Tamandua tetradactyla: one gene and its partners. The protein of the gene in region 1 purifies or fractionates together with the protein of each later gene. This does not show direct contact. Links are inferred from orthologs where the notes say so. Each region holds a gene or a part of one and is shown on either strand. Other genes may lie near its edges. The genes, in order: ERBB4, STAT5A and WWOX.

Evidence for each region.
Region 2: the proteins of ERBB4 (region 1) and STAT5A purify together in Homo sapiens (affinity purification with western blotting; 3 studies listed by BioGRID, with this or other methods). This does not show direct contact. The link is inferred for Tamandua tetradactyla from reciprocal best matches to the Homo sapiens genes ERBB4 and STAT5A.
Region 3: the proteins of ERBB4 (region 1) and WWOX purify together in Homo sapiens (affinity purification with western blotting; 4 studies listed by BioGRID). This does not show direct contact. The link is inferred for Tamandua tetradactyla from reciprocal best matches to the Homo sapiens genes ERBB4 and WWOX.

The regions. Positions count from the first base shown.
Region 1 is NC_135329.1:187,875,808-187,883,784, forward strand, and holds the start of ERBB4 (receptor tyrosine-protein kinase erbB-4), read right to left. Parts: upstream 3,278-7,977; 5' UTR 3,172-3,277; coding exon 3,087-3,171; intron 1-3,086. UniProt on the Homo sapiens protein: Tyrosine-protein kinase that plays an essential role as cell surface receptor for neuregulins and EGF family members and regulates development of the heart, the central nervous system and the mammary gland, gene transcription, cell proliferation, differentiation, migration and apoptosis.
Region 2 is NC_135332.1:24,922,389-24,929,696, reverse strand, and holds the start of STAT5A (signal transducer and activator of transcription 5A), read left to right. Parts: upstream 1-4,166; 5' UTR 4,167-4,345; intron 4,346-5,001; 5' UTR 5,002-5,049; coding exon 5,050-5,177; intron 5,178-5,529; coding exon 5,530-5,686; intron 5,687-6,761; coding exon 6,762-6,851; intron 6,852-7,308. UniProt on the Homo sapiens protein: Carries out a dual function: signal transduction and activation of transcription. Mediates cellular responses to the cytokine KITLG/SCF and other growth factors. Mediates cellular responses to ERBB4.
Region 3 is NC_135342.1:72,976,689-72,984,540, forward strand, and holds the start of WWOX (WW domain-containing oxidoreductase), read left to right. Parts: upstream 1-4,423; 5' UTR 4,424-4,771; coding exon 4,772-4,878; intron 4,879-7,852. UniProt on the Homo sapiens protein: Putative oxidoreductase. Acts as a tumor suppressor and plays a role in apoptosis. Required for normal bone development. May function synergistically with p53/TP53 to control genotoxic stress-induced cell death.

The DNA of each region.
Region 1 (7,977 bases):
AATGCATGCACTTTTATAAAATGTAAAGCAAGATTAAGTTACTTGCAGATGGGAAATATAAATTGAACTTGTCTATAACATGCATGTTATATGGTATACAGATATGTAAGAGTGGGCACTTCAATACTACTGCACATTTTATTTCAATACAAAGGTGGTATTGATTACTGTTAATGATTAGAAGACGGAAACTTTACAATTATTTCTTTGGGTGGTAAAGGCCTTATAATTGCACTATGAAGGGCCTTTGGCTATAACATTTTTATATGAAATAAACTTCTGGAGATGAGGCAAAGTCCTTCAAAATCACTAAAAAGTCTTCTCTAAAGCTGAATATTCTGCCATGCAAAGGAAGAATAAATAAATAGATGCAAATCGTCTTCAATTACAATTATTTTAAGAAAATCTCAAAGATATAAACAATAGACTCCCCCTATATTTTTATTCCATTCACATAGAGCTGTAAATAAGGTGCATTCCTTCTGCTTAAGAAATTAGCATTTCAAAAATATGCTACTTTCCCCCCCCCGAACTCCAAGCGTGTCTAATAATGCGAGAAGCAGATTGTCTTCCCTCGTTTCCTTAATTTGTTTCATCTAAAAGCAATTCACTCAACATCTTGTCGCCCTCTGGCAGCTTAGTTTACTTATCCGTACTTAATTTCTCATTTGGACCAAAACAAACTCCTCCAAACTGCTACTGACTGCTAACCGCGAGAGGGGAGACGCGCAATACTTTATTTACTAGGGCACATACGGCCACACACAAACGCAACCACAAACACACAGTGTGAACCTCAATCTCACTCCAGACAGTAGCTTGGTTTTACAATAGCACTATGTTAAAATCAGCTGAACTTTCCCTGCCAGGTGTGGTGGGGTGAGGGTGGGGGTAGATTAAAAAAAAAAATGTCCCAAGGGCATTTACAGTTTCCAGTGGATCACCCCAGCATGCGTGTCGCAATTATGCCAGGGATGCACCCGAGAGCGTTTCTTTGTGCGGCCCTTTCATCTTTATCACTTTGTGTTTTGAACAAGTGAGACTCGCCTTTGTGCCCCCAGAATTTCAAGTACAGAGTCACACACGGAACAACAATGGCACGCTAATCCTCGCGCTCTAAATGGGCTCACTTGTGGGTCTGACAATTCGCTCCGGGAAGCGAGAAGGGACGGGACCAGCTAGGGCGCGAGCCGGCGTCTCCTGAGACGAGGAAGAGGACAGCTGCAGAACTAATTTGGATTACATTCCTTGCAGAAATTCTGAAAAGGTTTTTTTCGGCATAGCTCAACCCGCGAGCCGCACAGTTGATGCCAAATCGCTGCGGACTCGGAGCCGGGTCCCCCCGCGGCTGAGGCTGAACCATGCAGCCCCCAGTAGGTTGCCTCGTAGAAATTCTTCTCAGCTAAGCCTGCATGTCAGTCAGTCGCAACAGTTTTTGAATGGGTCAATGTGCATAATCAACCCATTGAGGGGAAATATGAAGGGACTCGGAGCGAGGAGGGAGATAAAAAGGGATGTATCTAAGAGGCCGCTTGGAATCTCAAGTCCGTGTTGGTGTGTAATTCCGGAGGTGGCTGGAGCGCAGGACCTGGTATGCATGAAGAATTGCGGAGTAATTGGGAGGGTGCAAATGGCCAGCACAAACGGCGCACGTGTGCCATTCGAAGGTCATTCTGAAAGCCTCAGTGATTATAACTTGCTATTTACTAGGCAAGGAGGGGGAGGCGGGGGCGGAGCGGGAAAACTACAGAGCGCTGTTTTCTTGTTGAGGTCAGGAAGACACGCTCCAGAGGCCCAAAGCTTTCCCTATCGTCACCCCAGGTGGCTTTATCTCTTCAAGCCGCCTCCCACACGCTCGCGACCAGCCCCGGATGGATCCGGAAATCTCCCCGGCTCTCCAAAGCACCCCACTCCGCCTCCCACTTGGGCCAAGTCAGACACCGGTTCTCCTCAGTCCTTTCCTATCCCGCATTCATCCACAGGAAACTCAAGTGTCAGAAACTTTGAGCTCCCTCGCACTGCAGGTGCTATCAGAAGCTCTGCCCGCCCGGGAGCGCCAGCCCCACTGCGCTGCCTCGGGGGTCATTTAGGCGTTTGCCTGTCTAGGTACCCGGGGCTTAAGCTCCCCAGCAAACAGTGGTCGTGCACCCAGCGTAGTCCGCGCGCCCTCCGGGGGTTAAATCAATTCGCGCCACCGGCCGGCTCGACAGCCCAGTCGGGCTGTAAACAGAGAAGTTGGAGGGACTCCGGCCAACAGCAAGTTGAACTACAGGAAGAACTCTTCCCGGAGCCAAACGTAGCAACCGACCTGAAGTCCGGGCTCCAGACTCTAGCGTGCCAAGCCCTTTTTTTTTTTTTTTTTTTTAAAAAAAAAAGAGGTCAGGCTGGCAAGCAAGCGCCCCTCAACTCACTGGGGCCAGGGACTCCGGGACGCCGGCCGAAGAGGCCCAGGGTTCCCGCGCCTGGGCCGAGGCACGCCCGCCCGCTGCGCTCCAGCTGCCCAGTCCGGGTTCTAGCCGGGTCTGACCCGGGAAGGCTCGGGCGACTGGGGGCGCAGTGCCCACCGGCAGCACACACAGGTGCAAAGCTCGGCTCTCGAAGCTTCACTGTGCACTGCCCCGCGGCTCAGAAGCGGCCCGGCAAGCGCCCCGGGACCCCAGCCCCTCAGTCACTCCCACGCTGCGCGCTTCTCCTAGGCTTCTTGCCTCGAGGGCCAAGACGCGGACAGGAGAGTCTCCTCTGAATGAATTGGGGGTCTCCCACGTCCTCAACAACAGGCGCCACCAGAAGGGATCCCGTTTATGCACGAAAAAGAAAGGAGGGTGATAAAGGAAAGAGGAAAAAGAGAGACCGGGGCGCGCAGTGATTTTTCACGATAAATTACATACGCACACAAGGCAAGTTTGGGGATGGAAAGAGGGGTGACCGAGAGCCCAAAGAAGCGGCCACGGGCGGGTGGTCCCTCTACGCCTGGAAGCTGGCGGGTCTCGGGATGCGCGGAGAGAGCTAGGGAGCCGCCGGAGGCAGCCAAGCCGGCGGCAGCAGGTTCAACAGCTGGAGCGCGAAAAGAACGAACCGCGACCCACCTGATTGGGAAGCGCTGGGCTGGACGGTCCCCGCCGCCACGAAAAGGCTCACCCAGACCCACAGTCTTGTCGCCGCCAGCTTCATTTTTGTAAGTCTCAGATCCCGTGCTGACAATTACATGTCCAAATGGCATATCCCCTCTCTGGGGCGCGAAGGAGATCCCTTAGCCCGACGCGCGTGGGGGCCCGAGCGGGGCTGGCTGGCGGCGCGCGCGCTGCGCGGGCTGCGAGGGCCGGCGAGGGAGTCCTTGCGCGCGCGGGTCCCGGGCGGGGACCCGGGGGGGGCGTGAGGATGTGCGCGTGCTGCTCCGGGTCGGACTGTGCAGCTATTTTCCCGTGTGAGCCTTCGCTTTCTCGCTCCCTCCTCACTTTCTCTCTCGCGCTGGTTGGTCAACAATAAAAAGGAAGGGGGGAATAAAAGGTTTCCAAAAAAAGTTGATTGCAAAGAGGCGGTAGGTTTCCGGTCTCTCTCCCCACCAGCCGGGCTACGTTCGGCTCCTTTTTCTGCTTCCCTGCACCTCCAGTCCAAATCGGGAGGGAAGGGGCGGAGAGGGGGGAAGCGTCTTGCTTCACCCTCGATCCTGTCCTTTTTTCTCTCAGCTTTCCTCACACTTGTCCGGCGGCTGCGGTAATTAAAGCTCCGAGCGTCATTTCCAACGCTCGGCAGTCTCCAGCTGCAGCCCCTCAGAGAAATTAATAAGACTCCCGGAAAAAAAAAAAACAAGAAAAAAAAAAAAACCCTCCACGCAACCAGGCCGGCACTGCTCAGCAGTTCAAACCCCGCCCCTGCTCTGACCCAACTAGCCACGCCCTTTCTCCCGCCCCCCCACGGGGAACTCTTATTGGCTCAGCCACTCCCCAAAATCCTCAGCCTCGGGAGTTCGGGAAAACACCTGTCAGCAAAAGGGAGTAGATGGTGGGGCGGGGGAAGACGAACGTAAAGGGCTTACCCGAGGCCACTGACTGAAACATTCCCCTTCTCTCCCCCAGCAGACACCAGGGACAGCTGGCCCGCGGAGTGGCAGACAACGGAGCCTGTTTTTTGGTTTTCTTTTATTTTTTTAAAGATGTCACCATTTTCACCATTGCCCTAAGGTACTCATCCACAGACCGCACCTTCGCTAGAATAGAAGCAAAATCAGCATGTCTTGGGGGCAAAACTGCCTCTCCCTCCCCTCGGTATGATAACTGGGAATCAACACAGATTAGGTAGTCCTGGGGTGTTATCATCCCTGTTCCCCGACTATGACTATGCAGCCTCTCCCACCCAAGGTAACTGACACTGAGCAAAACAGATTTGTAGAAGCACTTTCTTTGAATTTTAAACTTTAGGGGTCTTTTTAGCTTTTCCCTGTACTCTAGGACAACTTGGTTTGGGTTCATTTTCATTATGCAGATTCTATTCCAAAGCTATTGATTTAGCCCTAATGGACTAGAAATTGTCCTAGGCCTGAACTATTCAGCCTGAAAGGATTTAAGAAGACCATGCCAAGATATAACTGACCCAGGTTTAAGTTCCTTCCTTGTTCACACTGAAAATGTGCACTCCTCAGATCAGCGCTGGCTATGGCAGTCTCTGGGCTTCTCTGGATCTGAAATATCTTGGGACCAGGTCATAGCAGGCTACGTATCCGTTGCCTTATGCAGCTCTGGAACTGTATCCTGAATAGGGTCCAGAACCTCCTGGGGGTAGTAGGTTATTGGTTTGCTATTTGCACAGGCATTCTATGAATTATATTCCCTTTTTTTCTTTTTTTTTTTTTTTTTTTTGGTTTCTCTAGGGACAGCAAATATACAAATAAATAGTATCTGGAGAGCCTAAAAATCAGCCTCCCTCCCTCTTCACTCATCATTCGAGACCTCCTCCATACCTTTTATCTATAGTCAAGCCCATTAAGAAGCTCCATGGAGCTAAGAACAGACAGGAACAGTAGCAGCGACCCAGAAGTCCGAACCCTTTTCTCTCTTAGGCCCACAGCAAATAGGAAGCCTTGAGAAGAGGCTCAGAAGCAGCCCAGGATGAGCAGAAGCTAAGCTGAGAGCAGATGATGGTGATTTGCCCAGAATGGTATAGATTGCAGCAAAACTGTGCTCACTGCTGGTATGGATCATCTTTGATTTCTATTTCTTTTACCCCCCTTCTATTTTTTTATTCTTTCTTTCAAGCTCTTCTCAGTCCTTTTTTCTTAAATCCTCTTCTGATTTTTATGATGACTCTCAGACACCTCTCCTCTGTGAAAGTTACTTTCTAAAATTCCCATTTTGTCCCTAGGATAAAAACTTAAGTGACAAAAACAAACAAGCTTCTTGCTTTTGGAAATGTTTAAATCTCTGTGTTTAAAAAAAAAAAAAAGTCTTGTTTCTGATGCTAATTCTGTTGCAAGATATTAATTTTGTATTTTAACTTAAATTGTGGGAAAAATTAAATAGTCTGAATGTTTTGGAGTTTTTGTTTGTTTTTTACTTGTGTTCCTTCTGATAGTTTTCCTTCCCTATCAATTTTATAGCTCTTTTGTGACAGAAACTCTCTTGTATGTCTTGGTCTCATCCATACCTTCCAGAATAACTCTTGGCAAATGAGGGTTTTTAACTAATGTTTATTGATTGGGAAAAAAACTTTGTCTATGTTTGTGGGTACTAGACAGCCCATAAAAGATGTCTACCAGTTAAAATACCTAACACACCATGATTTGCCTCTACTACTCGGTTTCTTCTGCTTTGGCTCCATTTTCCTGTCTCTGATTGAAATAATGATTGGTAACTTGCCAAAAGTGAGTATTTGAACAGCAGCTTATAAAATGATTTGGAATGAGAGCTCTACTCAATAGAAGCATCCTGGTGCCTGCTCTACCAATCAGAGTCTAGTTCAAATAATTTCAATGTGAGATTTAAAGATGTAGACAGGAAAATGGTACTGTGTGGGGGCAAGTTGGAAAGATGAGAAAGTAGAAACCATGAGGAAGAATCATGTGTGTCTCTCTCATTTGTGTCCAATCTCAACGGAATCTTCGTAAGAAAGGCCCTCCAGATTCGGAAACACTTACTACCTGATGTGGAAAGAAGGATATACTGGCTGGACTGTTGTACGCTTGCTGAGATGGGCTCTCTGTAATTCTTCACTTTTCTCTGTATCTTTATAATTTATTCCCATTAACTGAGTTAACTAAAATGTGTTGCTGTTGTTTGCTACCTGGGGAAAAACAAAAGAAAATACAAGACTAACCAGCATGTATGTATGTATAAGCACTTCATAAATAACAGATGATCACTTGGAGTTGTCTGCTATACCCTTTTCTAGGAATTACCCTACCTTAGTTCTACATTTTTAAATTGGATCTACCTCCATTGAACAACCTTGCCTTCACTGCCAAGTTATAAGTTGGACCAATCAAAGCACTTGGTCACTGTTAACTGAGTGACAAATGTTCACTGGCCCTGAGTCCCTTCCCTGAGAAATAGCTCGTAGTCTTTCACTGATAGCTTTAGAAATTAAAAAAAAAACAACTCTGAAACTGGCTTGGCTATGTTTCCTTCTACACAGGCATTACCAGGCTGCAGTGGAAAGAATGAAGCTGCCATTTGGAAGGTACAAAACCCAGATGGGTCCAAAGAGGATTCTTCTTGTGGCTAGTTGTTCAAGTTCCCATTTTCCTTAAGTTACTTCAATTTTTGTTTTGTTCCCTGAAACAAGAACAGTGTGAAATGGGAAAAGAATTTCTCCAACTTGAATGGGATCATATAGGCAGCCTGCCCCTTGAGAAAGACATCTTGATGTAGTCCATATTCTTGAGTTCCTTTTCCCATTTTTTTTCATGATTTCCCTTGTATGAAGTGTAATCCCAACATTAAAATGGCTTTGTCCTATAATGCTTTCCCATATCTCCCTTTCTGCCTCATTTCTTCCATTAATGATAGCTTTCTGAGTAAGTTCTGATGTCATGAGTAACAGAAGGCTGCTGGTGGGAGAAAAGAATACAATGAACTCAAAGTTCAATCTGATCCTTAACTTTGTCCCCAATTTTCCTAATTCATTCTACTCATCAGCCTGATTCTGAAACCTCTCTAAAAGTAAGCTTAGAGCTTGCTACTGTCCATATTTTGCCATTATTGGCCATTAATATAAATCTGAGCAGATATCAACAAAGAAGAGAAAATGGGATCCTATCATAGATAAATCGGTTATCTTCTCAAGAACATTTAAAAATAAATAGTGGGTTCTGTTTTTTTTTCTTTCTTTATCACATCTAAGTTACCTTGCTAAATTGAGCAAGTCACTTCATATGCCTGTGCCAGTTTCCTCATCTTTAAAAGAAGTAGATACATATAATGTCCCAAATCAAAGACTTTATGGGACTATGACTTACCCACCACCTATGAAGTGCTAGTCATAATTTTCGTGCACTTGAATTCTTATTTTCCTTACTCTACCCATTCTCAACTCGCCCCCACATACGTTTCCATCTGGGCCACCAACACAGAGACAGACACACATTTTAAATAGCCTTAGGGAAATATCCAAATGAGCGCAATACTATATTACTGTGAAATACTCAAGACTTCGAATTCTTCATGTTATTAGTCAAGGGAAAAATTTGATATGTACTGATCAAGTTCATTATTGTGATGATCAAGCCAATGACAGAAACAGTTTCGTTTTATTTTATTTTATTTTTTTAACTGAGCACTTGAAATTCACCTTTGTTCCATACCCTCTGGTTTCTAGATTTCACTTCATATTTTGGTGACATTTAATTTTTTAAAGCAAAAAAAAAAATACCTTTAAAACTTCAAAATTTTAAAAATGCATCAACACATTAACTAAAGAAATTTATTTACTACCTTAGTTAATTTATTATACCAAGAGGCCCTCCCAAGATCATTTCATTTTTAG
Region 2 (7,308 bases), on another chromosome or scaffold:
CATAGCCCTCTGCCACACAACCCCCAGGGGCTTGAAGTCAGGTCCTGGGCTGGCTACTGCACAAAAGAGTTCTTGTTGGGCTAGAAGGAGGAGAAATGAGCTCAGTGGGCAGAAGGGCCCAAGTCTTCATGGCTGAGGATGAGCAGCCAGGCCAACCCAGGCTGTCCAGGCCAGCAGCCAGTCCCACTCAGCTGCCCAGCTCAGCTTGCATGTGACCCACCTTCTCAGGGCCTACCCCTGCAATGAGGGGGATGGACAAAGGGAGGCCTCCTTCCTGCCCACCTCATTCGGGAGTTGGGTAGGAGACGGGTACTTGGTACAGACGAACCTTGACCAGAGAGAACTCAGCCTGTGAGCCTCTCCCACAAGGCAGCTGGGCAAGACGGCTAAACAAAAGAAGGAAGGACTTCCCCCTCCTACCCACCCCGTAACCCCTCCCCTCACTCTGTTCCCAGAAATGGAGGCTAGTTAATATGCCTCAGGCAGGATGGCCTTGTGTTCTCGTGATGGCTTCATTGTAAACTGGCTTCTCTGAAGAGTGGGGAGGTGGCCAGGGACACAGGAAAGAAAGAAAGAACGGGCATCGCCGGGAACCTAGCCGGTGGCATCACCCTTCCCCTCTCCGTCACTAAGAATTCCTCACTAAGCAACACACACACCCTCCCTAGGTCCTGCTCTATCTTTGGGGATAAGAATGGAGGGGATCATTTCTACCAGGAGGTACCAGGGTAGGGCAGGGGTGAAGCAGGTTGTTTAAGAGCCCAAGGGCTGCTGCTCTCCCCACTCTGCTGGGATGTCCAGCTGCTTCCTGGATGCCTCCAGGTTTCCTAAGCAGGCCTGTCACCGCCACCCCACCTCCCCTCTGGCTTCCATGCAACAGGAACTCTTCTTGAAGAAGGGATGTACAGCAGAGGAGACAAAGGCGCCTCTGTACCACGTCCCCCCACCCCGTAGGATGGTCATGTCAAGGTGACCTCAATCTGTTCCCCCCAGGGTGAGGGCATCAGTAGGGCCTTCTCAGCTAACCTGGTCTCCAAGGAAAAGGCAGAAAGGGGATCTAGGATAATTCTTCCCTTCCTTCATAAGCTCAAACCCACCTCCACACAAAACCCAGGACAGAGTAGGAGCAAGGGCTGGGGTAGGGCTGGGGGTGTGAAGCTCTGCACCAGAGAACAATTCTGGGCTAGCCCAGCCAAAGAAGACGTCCCTACTCTGTAGGCGTCTGCTGGGGCTGGGAGAGGAGGTACTCTGCCCATAAGGCTGGGCAACTTGGGTCCTGGGACCAACTGCACACTAACTAGTCAGAGAGCTTTGGACTGAGCTAATCAAAGGGGACGATTCTGGCCCTGTCTAGCTCCAAAATTGTCTTAAGGATCTGTTGAGTTGAAGAGTACAACCATTTGTGTATGAATGTACACAACGCATGAATTGTGCCACAATGCAGTTCAAGGTACGTGTATGGCATGCTAGCTATAGACTAGGTTGGGGGTTATTATTATTCCTAATGAAATATTCCTAAAGAAAAGATTTGGGGAAAAATCCTTCCTCCTTCCCCACATAATGGGGATTAGGGGCAGCTAAGGGGCAGAAGGCCAACCTGGGACCCCAGCTCTGTCCAGACCCTAGGCAGTTTCTGATCTTCTTAAACCCCATCCCCTGTGCCTCAGTTTTCTCCTCTATAGACTGGGCACCTGAAACTTACCAGGGCGCTTTGTGGTGGGAAATAGCACAGACCAAACCTGGGTACCAAAAGCAAAATGAAACCCCAAATTTGACATTTCCAGGTAGTCGTTTTATCCAGAGTCATGACCAGTTACCTCTGGCCCCAACCGGACTGTGACACCCTTTCTTCCTCCATCCCCTTGGGTGACCTCTGACCAAAGCTCCTCCTCCACCCCAGTGAATCTCAAGGTGAGAACAGAGGTCCAAAGAAATGGAGAGAAACCCAAGCAGACCCAAATAGAAAGTCAGACAGAGACCTAAGGAGAGAGAGAAAGAATCAAAGCAAAGGGGAGAAATATGCAATGAAGGGCACTGGGATTCATTAGAGACAGAAAGACCAAGTGAGAGAAGGCCAGAAGTCAGGGGTTGGACACAAATCATGGGGTGGGGGCTAGGGAAGCAAGTGAGGACTCTGAAGGCACTGGGGCACACCCTTTTAGGCCAACCCATAATCCCTCCTATTTTGTTCGCTGGCACCTCAATGCCAGTTTTTTAGGATCCAGGACTATCCACGCCCCAGCCAAGCCAAGCCCAACCCAGCCAGATGTTTGGTGGGTGGGGCTGCCAGCTGGGGCAGCAGCCTAACAGGCCCAGGGGGAGGCAGCTGCCTAGAGAAGTGGACAAGCAGGGCCCCCACCCTCTGAAGCTGGCAGCCCTGCGTGCCTGGAGTAGGAGTGGGTTCATGGCAAAGGGGCTTTCTCTGCCCTCTAATCTTAGCTCAAAGGACCTTGGGAACCCAAGAAAATGGCCCCTATGACTGATTTCCCCCCCAGTGAGTGGGCTGGAGGGCACAGGTGCCACTGAATGGGCCCCACCCACTGTGTGGCAATGGGTTTGGATCCGCCACTGCCACTAACAAGTTGCGTGACAGTGGCCAAATCACTTCCCCTCCCCGGCCTCTGTTTCCCCATTTGTAAAATCATCTTGATGGTCGCTTTCAGCTGGACACATGGCCCTCATTCCAAGTGACCCTCTCTCTGCATGTCTGACCCTCCTAATGCCAAATCCATTGCACAGGGGGCAGGGAGAAGTGAGGCAGAAGGGCTGAGATTCTCCTCCTTTGGGCTCTGCTGTGGAACATCTGCAGAGTAAGGTTTCCCCAATCCTCCACGCACCCCCTTACAGTTTTCAATTCCTTTCCCCGTGACCTTGCCAACTAAGAGACCGTGACCACACATGGAAGGGGGGTGGGAGGACCTAGACATTCCGGCTTCTCAGTTTTTCTCTAAATAAAGAGTAGAAGTGGGGGAGGCAGTGATGGGACCAGGGAGAGGCAAGAAGGCAGAGGGGAACAGGGAATGGGGAGAAAAGGGCAGACCCAATAAGGGATCAGGGAGGGAGACAGATGAGCACGATTCCCCCCAGGATATGTGGTCTTGGCCCAGCGAGGCTGTGAGTGGGCAGCCTGGCCGGCCCCTCCCTTGGTGCTGCCAATACCAGCTGCCAGGCAGAGGGGAGGCCCAGAGGAGAGGGAAGCTGGGCAAAGGGGATGGAAGGCTTCCAATTCGGCCTTACCCAACCCAGTGGGCCCTGGAGGGGGGGGGCGTGCACTCGAGGGGCCTGTGACTGAGGCTCTCCTGGAGGTTACTGGATGCTGGGGCAAGGCCTAAGGGAGGCTGTGAGGGACTGTGAGTGGGTCCAACACAACTCCTCCCCGGGCCTTTCTGAAGGTAGGAGACCCGTCAGATGTGGCTGCGCTGGGATGAATGGGGGTGGGGCATGTGCGAAACGGTTTGTGGTTCATACTCTGGGGATGAAATCTAGGCTCTGCTCCATGCGCCCGGCATGATCCTGGGAAGCCCCTTCTCCCTGGACTTCAATTTCTTACCTGCAGAATTGCGGGAGGGGGGTTGAAATAGCTGTCAGGGTTTTCTGCTGTTCCCGCTACAGGGGGTGGGTCACGGGTGAGAGGAGCGACGGACGGCGGCGGGGGAGGTGTGTCCCCCCCACACCCCACTCCTCCGGAATCCCCAAGTCCTTCCCCTCACGGGGGCTCTGTCTCTAAGGTCACTAAAGCTTTGCCTCCAGCTCACGGGTACACACACACGCCACATATTTTTTTAAAAATCTAGACTCAAACGATGACAAACGCCGGAGCTGGAAGACACCTCCAGCTGGGCCAACCCTTCCCTCCTCCCTCTTCACAGCTAAGAAAAACTGAGGCTCCGGTTTGGGATTTCCAGAGGCCGGGGTTTCCCGGTCCTCCCACCTTCCCCCGCCCCCACGGCGACTCCCGAGCCTCGCGCCCGCCACCGTCCCGGGACGCTCCCGCCGCGCCGCAGGCGAGAAGGACTGGCTGGGGCTCCCGGGGGACGTCGCCGTCGGGGCAACCCCCACGCCCGGCGCCGCCCCGCCTCGCCTCGCCGCCCGGAGCCCGGAGCGCGGCCGCCGCTGCGCACTGGCGGAGGAACGGGCGACCGAGGGCGGAGGCAGGGAAGGGTGTTGGCGAGAGCTCGCGCGCTGTGTATGGTCTAGCGGAGGCAGCTGACCTTTGAGGAGGAAATCGCTGCTCTCTGCTCCTTCCTGTAGTAACAGCCGCCGCCGCCGCCAGGAGACCGCGCCGGGAGCGAGAGCCGCGGGGCTGAGAGCCGGCGCCGAGGCCGGACGGCTCGGCCCTGACCAGGTGGGTGGCCGGGCGGCGCGTCCCCGGCGGCGCGCGCGGAGAGGGGGCGCTCGACTCCTGCCCCGGCCCTCGGGCCGGAGGATCCCGGGGCCCGACGGGCGGGGGACGGGGAACGGGTCCCCGGAATCGAGGGGGAGTTTTGGCGCAGCGCGCACCTCGGACGCTGGCGGAGGGAGGGGGCATCGTCGCCCACGGCGGGGAGGGAGCGCTGTTGAGCTGGACGGGAGGAGCAGGTGGGGCGCAGCTAGGGGGCGCAGCCGAGGGGGCGGAGCGTCAGTCCCCCCAACCTGCTCTGCTAATAACCCCAGCCACGTGCCCGCGGGGACCGGGCCGTCGAGTGGGAACTGTCGCTGGCGCAGCCCTAACTTTGGGCCAGATCATCCGGCCTTTCTAGAAATTGGAACTCAAGGTCCGAGGCAGCTCCGGGTGGGGGGATTCTTGCAGCCCTCCCCAGAGGACCCGAGAGCGTTCGCTGCAGAGTTTCTCTTTCAGTTTCTAGCTGTCCCCCTCCCCCTCAGCGGGGAAGCCCCAGTGGGGCGAGGGGAGAGGAAGAGGGGGAGGTACCTGACTCTTGAGAGCCCCTCCCCAAGCCTCAGAGTTTCTTGTTGAAGGGGAAAGCTTCCCTTCCCCTCCTCACCATCTTTCTTCCCACACAGGAAAGCTGTCTGTGGAAGACGAGGGACCCTCTTCCTACGTGCAGGGACATGGCCGGCTGGATTCAGGCCCAGCAGCTGCAGGGAGATGCGCTGCGCCAGATGCAGGTGCTGTACGGCCAGCACTTCCCCATTGAGGTCCGACACTACTTGGCGCAGTGGATTGAGAGTCAGCCCTGGTAAGTGCCCCCTGCCCTCTGCCTCCCTCTGCCAGTACCTACGGCTCATGCTCCTTAGCCTCTGGCTCTGCTCTTTGTGGTTTGGTATGAATCTGATCGTGTCTGTCCCTCTCTGTGCGGAAGGTGCAGGAAAAGGCGGTGTCCTTGGGAAAGGGGAACAGGGAAATGGAGGCCTGGGAGGGGAGAGGGGATGTTTCTAGACTCTGAGGCCCATGGAACTGCCAGGAACAAGTTTTCTGTGTCCAGGAGCACCCTTAATCACAAGCCTGGGATTTCCATGTCTTTTTTGGTGCCCCATCTCCATGCCCAAGTAGGCACCCAAATAAGCTTCTTTCTCCTGCCCTGCCCCGAGGGATGCCGTGGACCTGGACAATCCCCAGGACCGAGCCCAGGCCACCCAGCTCCTGGAGGGCCTGGTGCAGGAGCTGCAGAAGAAGGCAGAGCACCAAGTGGGGGAAGATGGGTTTTTACTGAAGATCAAGCTGGGGCACTATGCCACACAGCTGCAGGTGGGTGTGCACTCTGGGTCGGCTTGGGGAGCCAGCATCCGCCTTCTCTTCTCTTCCCAGCATCAGAACCCTTGGGTTTTTTCCTGGCCTGGCCACTGACTCACCATGTGACCCTGAACTTTTCGGCAACTTTTTTGTTCTTCAATTTCCCCCACCCCCTCTTTCTAAATCAGACCTGTCAGGTTCCTTGAACATAATTCAAAGCAAGGAGTGGGGAGGGGGCAGTGTTTGGCCCCAAGAGATGGGGGATGTGTGAAACAGCATTATGGACAGATCAATGAACTTAAGTGACATCAGAAGGGACGGAGGTAGCCTGAATCAGGAGTCCTCTGTTGGAGGATGGAGGATGGTACATTCTAGAAATACGTGGATGAGACAACCAGACATCCTTCTTGGGGCTCTTTTAAGTGAGGAAGAGCTATTGAACTGGGGTGAGAAAGGAGCAGAGTTGTCCTAGAGACAAGAGCTGGATAAAAGGGCCTTGAATTGAGGTTTTAATGTAAGAATGGAGCTGCTTCTTCACGTGGGGTGAATATGGGGAAAGAGAGGGTGTTTTTTAGAAGCAGGAAAGGGGTTTGGGTGGTAACTGTAGTTAAGCATTTATTGGAACTCGGTTGTATTTCTTAGATAGCCCTTCTTAACTATCAGCAGTAGGGTGCTAGGGAAATAAAAAGTCTATCCCAGAAGAGGAAAGAAATAGGAAAAACCTGGGGGAGGGGGGAGCAAACAGGAATCCAGGGCAGGAGTATGGTGGAAAGGGCCTTGACCTTGGTGTCAGATGCCCTGAGTCTCAACCTTGAGTCAGCCACTCACTTACTCGTTTGTTTCTGGACAAGAACTTACCCTCGCTGAGCATCAGTTTTCTCCTCTGTGAAAAGGGGATAATTTCAACTTATGTCATAGGGTTGCTGTGCTGGAGAGTCAAAGGAGTTGGTAGATTGGAAGTGCTTTGTATCTTGTGGGCTTCTAATTATGGCTTCCCTGGGAAGGCCGAGGCAGGGACTGGAGAAGAGGAAAGGATAGGCATGGCTAGAGCAGAGGGTGGTTACTGGTGGCTACTGTTGAATTTTTTCAGAACACGTATGACCGCTGCCCCATGGAGCTGGTCCGCTGCATCCGGCACATTCTGTACAATGAACAGAGGCTGGTCCGAGAAGCCAACAATGTGAGTGTCTCATGGGTATAAGGAGAGGAGTTGGGAAATCCTTCCACATGTCTCTATCTGGAGAAAGTGTGTGTTCACATATCCTTGCTCCCCACTGTATCCTAACACCTAGCATAGTCCTTGGCGTTGGGTCAATGAATGAATGTGGAATGAGGGATCATCATCGTTAGTAGGAAAACCAGGTGTCACTGGGGACATGTTGAATTTTAGTCTTTCCTGAAAGTAATTAGATGGCGCAGTTTGGGATACCTCTGGTGGAAACCAGATCTGAAATAGAAATGTCTACTGTGCTTTATGAAGATGCCCTAGTCTCCGCGTTACCTGTTTTTCCTCCTTCTTTCTCTCTTCCACCCCAATTCTGGCAAATTATCATCCTTCTATCTCAGATGACCCTTCCTTCTTACTCTAGATTTGGGACTGGGGTCTATAGTATTGGGGTTCCCTGAGACTGGAGGTT
Region 3 (7,852 bases), on another chromosome or scaffold:
TTAAATAAGTCCCTTCGAATTTTGCAATATAGGAATGTTTCAAGAACTGGAGCCATTTCTTTGAAATGTAATCATCAAGGAAGATAGTGTACTGTTCTTCCAATTTCCTGGGAGATTAGCATAACTTCAGGTGGAGCTTGGCTCCAAATTGCAAACTTACCTCTCACAGTGAGTCTAAATGATGTAATCAGAGTGATTTAATTATTGAGCATGCACAGATTAATTACACGCTTAGTCACAGAAAGCATGTAAGAAAATGGAGGCCTTAACATGATGATGGGTGTGATTTTTAGTATCATAATGACGTGTAGGCGATGGATGGGTTAAAATCTAAGCTAACATGCATGTCAAGTGGGCCCATTTTGGTTAGATTCAGCTCTGGTGATCAAGATAACTTTGAACTTGGGGTGGGTTGCTTCTGGGCTGACCCAGGACCCTTCATTAGTAAACATTAGGGGCTGTCTCAGTGATCACAGGACTCCAAAGTTGGAAAACCAGATAAAATGTGAGGGTCAGTCACATCTTTTTACAATCACAAGGGCACAAGATAAAGGCTATGCAATCATTATCAGAGATCAAGGCAGCTGGTTTACAGTTCAGAGATGTCAGGTATTTCCCTCTGTCTATTCTCATATACCAGGAAGTAAAAAAAGGAATATCTATATAATGATTCAGTAATCATAATCATCCCCTAAATCTTAACTTCTTGGTTACCACTCTTTGTATGTCTGTTGATCTTATTCTAACAGACTGAATTAGAGACAGAGGGTGTCTCATTTTCCTGGTTTCTTACAGAGACGAAGCATAAATTCCCCCATTCATTGTTCTTGAATGAATAAGTGAATACAAACACACTTTCCCAAGTAAGAGCACATTGACTAGGAGAGATTTTCCTAAGAATCCTGTTCAGTTGTCCCCCTTGCTGGTTACTTTCTAATGGAAAGCTTATCAAAAGAAGAGCAAATAGGCTTCTTAGATTCATTAACGTATTGACTTGGGCACCAGAAAAATCAGGCTTAATTCCCAGGGAATGGTGATTTAAATTAAATCAGGTTTGCAGATTTTTTGGGGGTGGGTGTCAGGTTGGGGGAGGAAATGAACATCGTCATGGTTAATGATGATAAAGGAAAGAAATGTGGTTTTAGGAATGCTACATTAAAACTTGGTCCCACTGCATACATTTCTTGTTAGTAAAGCCAAATTGCTTTCAGCAAAAAGGGATCAATCATATGTTAATAAATTGTAGGTATCGTAGAAGTAATCAATCAAAAGGAAAAGACAGTTCCACTATGGAAATGCTTAAATCAAGTCCTGAATTGGGCATCAGCCTTTAAGTCCCTGGGCAGATAGTACCATCTAGTGTGCAGCTGTGTAACCACACCTGGATTTTTTTTCAACCTTCTCACTATTGCGATCCAGTAGATTTTACAAAACTAGGCCACTCTTTAGGCTTTCTTAGGGGTACATTTTGAGGAGCTTAGCTCATTCCCAAACCCAAACACCTCAAATCTGTTATAATTGTAGTATATAAATCAAGCAGAGTTCACCTACTAGGAACAAAGTCAAAGCCAAGTGCAAGCTGAAGTTATGGGGCCGGGAAGGTTGCAAAATGATAAATAAACAGAGCAAGTCAGTAAGGAGAGAGGGGGAGATTTAGCCCATGAGCAGAGAGCGGGAAGCAAGGGATCAGGAAACTCATGAGAAGAAAAAACAAAAACGGGGCTGACCTTGGGCTCCCCTGTGTCCTGTTAATGTCCTAGTTCAGCTCGTGTGCACACTCCCTGCCCATAAACTCTTGCTCTTGAATGAATCTCTGCAGCTTGCAATCAATGAGCCTGATTAAAACACTGTTCGTTTTAGTGAATCAAAATCTATAAATCCTAAAATCTGACATGCTATTCCTCACAAGTCTCCCAAATGCCCATATATTTATTACAGTGCAACAAATAAGATGTCAGAAGAGGCGGAATAAGATGTCATGATAATCCTTTGGGCCATTATTGGGGTTTAAGCCCCCTCACTTGGACTTTCTGCCGGCCCAAGGCTCTCTGGTGGAGACAGGCTAGTGATGGGACAGGCAGGTGCATCTGACAGTGCTACAGAGCTCTGTGATCAGGGCTTGTAGTGACATCAACAGGGTCCAAGTACCAACCTGTAATCTACTGACAGAAATGGGCTCCTGGATGCCTAAAGTAAATCTCAGTGTTTGATTCAGCAGTTAGTAACTTCCTGGCTTGGTTCTCGACTGGGCCAATAGTGTCAATGTCTGGCGACAGTTTTGGTTGTTACAAATGAGCGAGGGGTAAGCTCCTGGCATCTAGTGGGTGGAAGCCAGGGATGCTGCTAAACATCCTATTGCATACAACAGTCCCATGTTGGGGAAACATACTTAAAAACAAAATCCTTTCTCAACCTTGAAAGGATTTTGTGTTTTTCATCAAGGGAAGACAAAGACCAGACAAACAATTTTATTATTGAATAATCATTAAACGAGACTGTGATGCATCACAGGCATTCTGCTAAAGAGATTGTAAAGACAGAATTCTTACTGTATTAGATAGCTAAATGGACACAACCCATTATATTCCTGTTTTCAAGATAATGTCTTCATATCTGGAGGTGGGTTTTGCAATTTGGGGTCTGGGGACAACTAAAGATAGGTCCATCTGCCCCCTGGAAACTTTTTCAGTATTTTCTTCTCTGATTATCACCTTTCAAAGAGATGGCTCTCAGGTCCATGAGGAAAGACTTCCCATATGTCTTATTAAACTGCAACAAATAAGATGTCAGAAGAGGAGGAATAAGATGTCATGATAATCCTTTGTTATAAGACTGGCAAAAGGCTTATTTGGCATTTGACTTTACACCCCCACAACAAAGAATTATCCCGTCCAAAATGTCGTTAGAGCCCAGGTTGAAGAATCCCGGTGTAGAAGGCAGGAGAAGCCCTGGAGTAAATACTAACATGGTAGGAACAACAGAGGATTGACCCAGACCTTTAGAATTCTATCCAGACCATGGCTACCCAGTTTGCAGAAAGCACCACTTTAAATCATTATCTGTGGACTGATGCCAAGTCACAGGCAACAGGTGCTTGGAGAGGCTCAGGCCAGGGCAACCCAAGATATTTCTAAACGGTCCTTGAGAAGCTGAGCACAGATCACAGAGAATGATTAGAGAAGTGGAGGCTAATCGGTTGGGCTCCATTCATCTCCCTCCCCACCACCAGGGTCTTTGTGACCTAATTTCCTATTCAAGGCAAAGGAAAAAATGGGTTTGAGGGAGGGGGAAGGAGCTAAATTGGGCTGAACAAAGAAGTAGGAAATTAAAGGTAGCATATTTTAGTGCCCATGGATTTGGAAAACATCATGTTTTGATAGGCTTGAGACGGTATAGCAGGCTTGCTAAAATTAAAATTGGCTTTCGTTAACTTAGCTTTTGATTGGTGAAGTTGAAAGGAAAGTGAGTGTCTCCTTAAGAACTTACAGACAAGGAATCCTAAAGCAGTATCAGTTCAGGTCTTGAAAAGGACAAAAAGCAACACTTCCCCCCTTAAAATTTATATATTTTTTTCTGGTGGAGCCTTGCATTCTTCTGTGCCCTAAGTCAGGAAAATCAGTCAGCAGATTTCCCTGTAACATAAGGTTGGAAGCTAGGTTCCAGTTGGGAATATTCTGGAAAACTCCTAAGGCAAGACCAAGTTGAAGTTAGGCTTCAGCATGCCAGCACTCCAAGAGGACTCCAGAGAGTCTGCTTTGTAAACTTTCTGTAAAAATTTGTTTTTAAATAGGTTGACTCGTAAAATACCATTTTTTACTTATTCATTTCATTCATTCAATAAACTGCTAAGTTCTGACACTTTATTCAGTTAGAGACAGAAAGAAGCATAAATGTGGTGCTGTTGTTTTAATCAGGAGCATACAGATAAATGAATAAGTATAATACAGTACAGGTTCTCAGTTGCCCCAAATCTCTGGTTCTGTGCTTTCTAGCGTGCATCCTTGGGTAGTTAACTCGCCTTTTCGAGTTGTGCCCTCCTAACAGAGTTGCTGGATACGTGAAAAAGATAATCTATAAATTCCTGGTTCTGGACAGGAAATTAAACACTTGATAACTGTTAGCTCTTATTATTGATAGAATCACGCTGGGGCTGGAGGGAAACAACTTTTCTAGGACTTGGTTATCAGGTAAACAGAAATTTGCATTTTTAACGGTTTCCAGGTAACTTATATGCATAACAAAGTTTGTGAATCAAAGGAAGGCGGAGGCAAAGAAACCACGATTACTTTCCTTCCTTTCTGCCTCACTTTCGCTCTATGGGGCCTGGACTACATTTCCCAGGATGCTCAATTGTTGGGGACTCCTGCAGGATTGGCCAGAGCAACGCGGAAGTGATTACGGGTCGCCCAGCAACGGGTGGAGTCCTGGCCCGTGACTGGATGTGCACGTCCCTTCCCGGAGGAGGAGTGATTGAAGAAGCTCGGCTCCACCTCCATATTCCCAGAGCGTTCTCCGTATCTTGCTTCCTACCGAGCAGCAGGGCGATCTCCTCGGCGCTTTCACCGCCCCATTCTCCAGGCCCCGCCCCTTTACGCTGGTAACTGCGAAACAGCGGAGACTGGAGTGCGGCTCTGGGGCCGCAGTGCGCAGGCGCGAGCTGTCGGGCGCCCTTGACGCGCGCGGCGCTCTGTTGAAGTCTGAGTTCCTGGACAAGGAGACTCTGCTGCGGGCGACGCAGCGAGTGGGTGACCGAGCACCTCCTGTCCCTGCCATGGCAGCTCTGCGCTACGCGGGCCTGGACGACACGGACAGCGAGGATGAGCTGCCGCCTGGCTGGGAGGAGAGAACCACCAAGGATGGCTGGGTTTACTATGCCAAGTAAGGGGGCCGCAGTGGGGCCACCGGGCCTGGGGACGCACCTGGAACCCTGTCGGCCTCACGTCCCCGAATGCTCCCCTGTCTCCGGACGCCACCTGCGCAGGGAGGGAGCGCGCAGACCCGCCTGGGCGCGGGCCTCCCGCACCACCTTTGGCGAGGGCCGTGCGAAGTAGAAGTGATGGCGAAGGAGTTTGGACCAAGGGCTCCGAGGGTCGCAAGGAGGGTCTGGAGCCCTGGGTCGAGCGTGGGTAACTTGGCCGCGTCCAGGCGCGCCCTCTGCTGTTCAGGAGGCAGCAGCGCACTTTGCAGAGATGCACAAACTGGCCTTATGGAAAAATAGCAAAACAACGTGCAGATGCCCACGTCCCTGTGGGGTGCTAGGAATATGGGTTTTTTTTTTGTTTTTTTTTTTTTTTTAACAAACGTCCTAGATAGTTCCGCTGTCATTTCCTAGGAGAATTTTGGAAACACTAGCAGAACCTTCAGAGCTGGCTCAGTCACTCTATGAACTTGGGGGATAGAACACTCACTCTCAGTTTCTTCATCTGTAAAATGGGTCAGTGTGAGTGAGGGTTAGCTCAGGCACTGTGCCCAAGGCATTTAGCAGAGCACTTGATAATACCCAGTTAAAGCTAATAAAAACCAGTGAGGGCTCAATAACTTTTAGCCTTTCTTGCTGGTTCTGCAGCCGCCACAGATTAGATATTAAAATTTACCACTTAACAGGGAACCTACCAGAGTAGACCCCCGACTTGGGGAACCTGCATTTAAAAAAATTTCCAGGTGAAGTGGATTATCACCCTACTTTGAGAAAGTGGATATAGATAAATAATTTTCCAACTTGTAGAAAGCTTTTGTAAAAATACCTTTTCCTGGGAATCACTCCCAGAGATTCTGATTTAAATTGGTTTTGGATAGGATTCCTTCCCCTCATCCCCCCCACCCTTACCTCATGTTGTAAATCACCTTAGGTGATTCTGATTTACCCAAGGGTGTGAATCACAGCTGTCTTTTGTGGCCTGCTAGAAAGACATAAAAAAGACCGTAGTGGCTTCATGCATTCGGAACACATTTGGGATCTTATTATGTGACAGGCCCATTGCTGGGCTTATACAGAGATAAATAAGGCCCTTTTGTCATCCTTAGAAAGTGCCCAATCCTGTATTGCCAAGTGCCGAGATAGTAAGATAGTCCAGTGCAGTGCATGTAGGAGGAGCAGCCTACCTAGCATGAGGTGGGGGAGAGGCAACATGTTAGGCCAGTGTACCTGGGAGAGTTGGCCCCTGAGCCATGCTGTCCAGAAAAAGTGGAGACAGGAGGGCAGCATAGGTAGAGGGAACCGTGAGAGCAGAACCCCCCAGAGTATGGCTTGTCCAGAGACCTGGGAGGTGTGTGGTGCTGGGCTGTGAAGGGCTCAGGCACAGGAGGAAGGAACCACTTTGTGGAGGCATTTCTGTGCCCTTCTGAGGAGTTGAGCTCTGCCTTCAGGATCCAGGGTGAAGCCATGAAGTGACATCTGGTGTGTGCGTTTAGAAAGATGATTTCTGATTCTGGAGAACCAAAGGGAAAATTCTTGCAGCAGGGAGTCATTAGGCTGTTGCAGGGGTCCAGGCACTCCTTAACCGGGTACTTACTGTTTGCTCTGTTCTGAGCTCTTTGCACAAAGGATTCCTTTCATCTGTCCCAGGAGACCTTCCCTGACTGAGCCCTATCCCTGTACCTTCCACCCCATCACCTGTTTACCTGCTTCATGGTACTTAGCACGATCTGTAGTTATCTTAATACACTTCCTTATTTACTCACTGTCCTGCAGATTGTAAATTTTATGAGAGCAGATACCTTTTCTTGCTCGCCTCTGTATTCCAGTGCTTAGCATCTAGAAGATGTAAGATATATACTCATGTAGTAAGCAAATTAATTCATTTAGCGCAGGTTTGCTGCAGGCCTGCAGGGGATGGAGCCCTGTTGCTCCGGGCTGGCTCTCCTAATGGGCGCTGGCTCTTTGTGTCTAAGGAAATTATGCTGCCTTTTTTTTTTTTTTTTTAATACCTTAGAAGAACATGCTTGAAAGTGATGTTCATGCAGTAGAATATAAATTTAACTTTGAATCTGTGGTCTAAATTAAGATCACTATTATCTCTTTAAATTACCAAAAGCTTATTGAAAGGAAAGAAAAAATTAAAGAAAGCCTCTATTTAAGGTTGGTAAGATAACACTGGGGATATGTTGTGGTTTTCTCTTTGTTAAAAAGTAATTTTAGGGTATAATGAAAAAGAATACCTTTTAATTAATTTTTTACACATAAGAATTTATTTTAAAAAAAGACTTCCGTGTGAAAGACACAGTTCTAAGTTCGTCAATCATGTTAACTTCTTCAGTCCTCTTTATAACCCCAAGAAGTGGGTGTTGTTTTTATCACCATTTCACCAATGAGGAAACTGAGGCACAGGGAGGTCAGAGGCCTTCCCTAAGGGCACCCTGCTGGCAAGTGGGAGATCCAGAAACCCAGGGCTGTGGGGCTTCGGACTCCATCCCCAGAAGATGTGGGGCACCCTCAGCTGGGCCCATGGGCCATCCCTGGGGGCAGCTGTGCCCTGAGGGGGACCGCTGCCAGGATCTGCCGACATTTTCAGTGGCCACAACTCTGGGTGGAGGGAGGGTGCTGCCAGTATCTGGTGGTCTAGGCCAGGCGTGCTGCCCCCTATCCTGCATGCAGGGCAGCCCTTTAGGAGACACCCAGCTCTAGGTGTCAGCACTGGCCGGGTTGGAACCTTGGTTTAAGGCACTTTCTGTGAAAGTCAAGAACATGGGGTGATAACTTTTTTTTGTTTTTGACTTTCAGCATAGGAAAAAAAAATGTTCTGGGTGATTTTAGAGGTGCTTTGAAGAGCCCTTCATTCATTCCACGTATTTACATTGAGTGGCTGCTGTGGGTGGGGCGTGGGGTGGGGTGGGTCTGTGAGAGGATCCATCC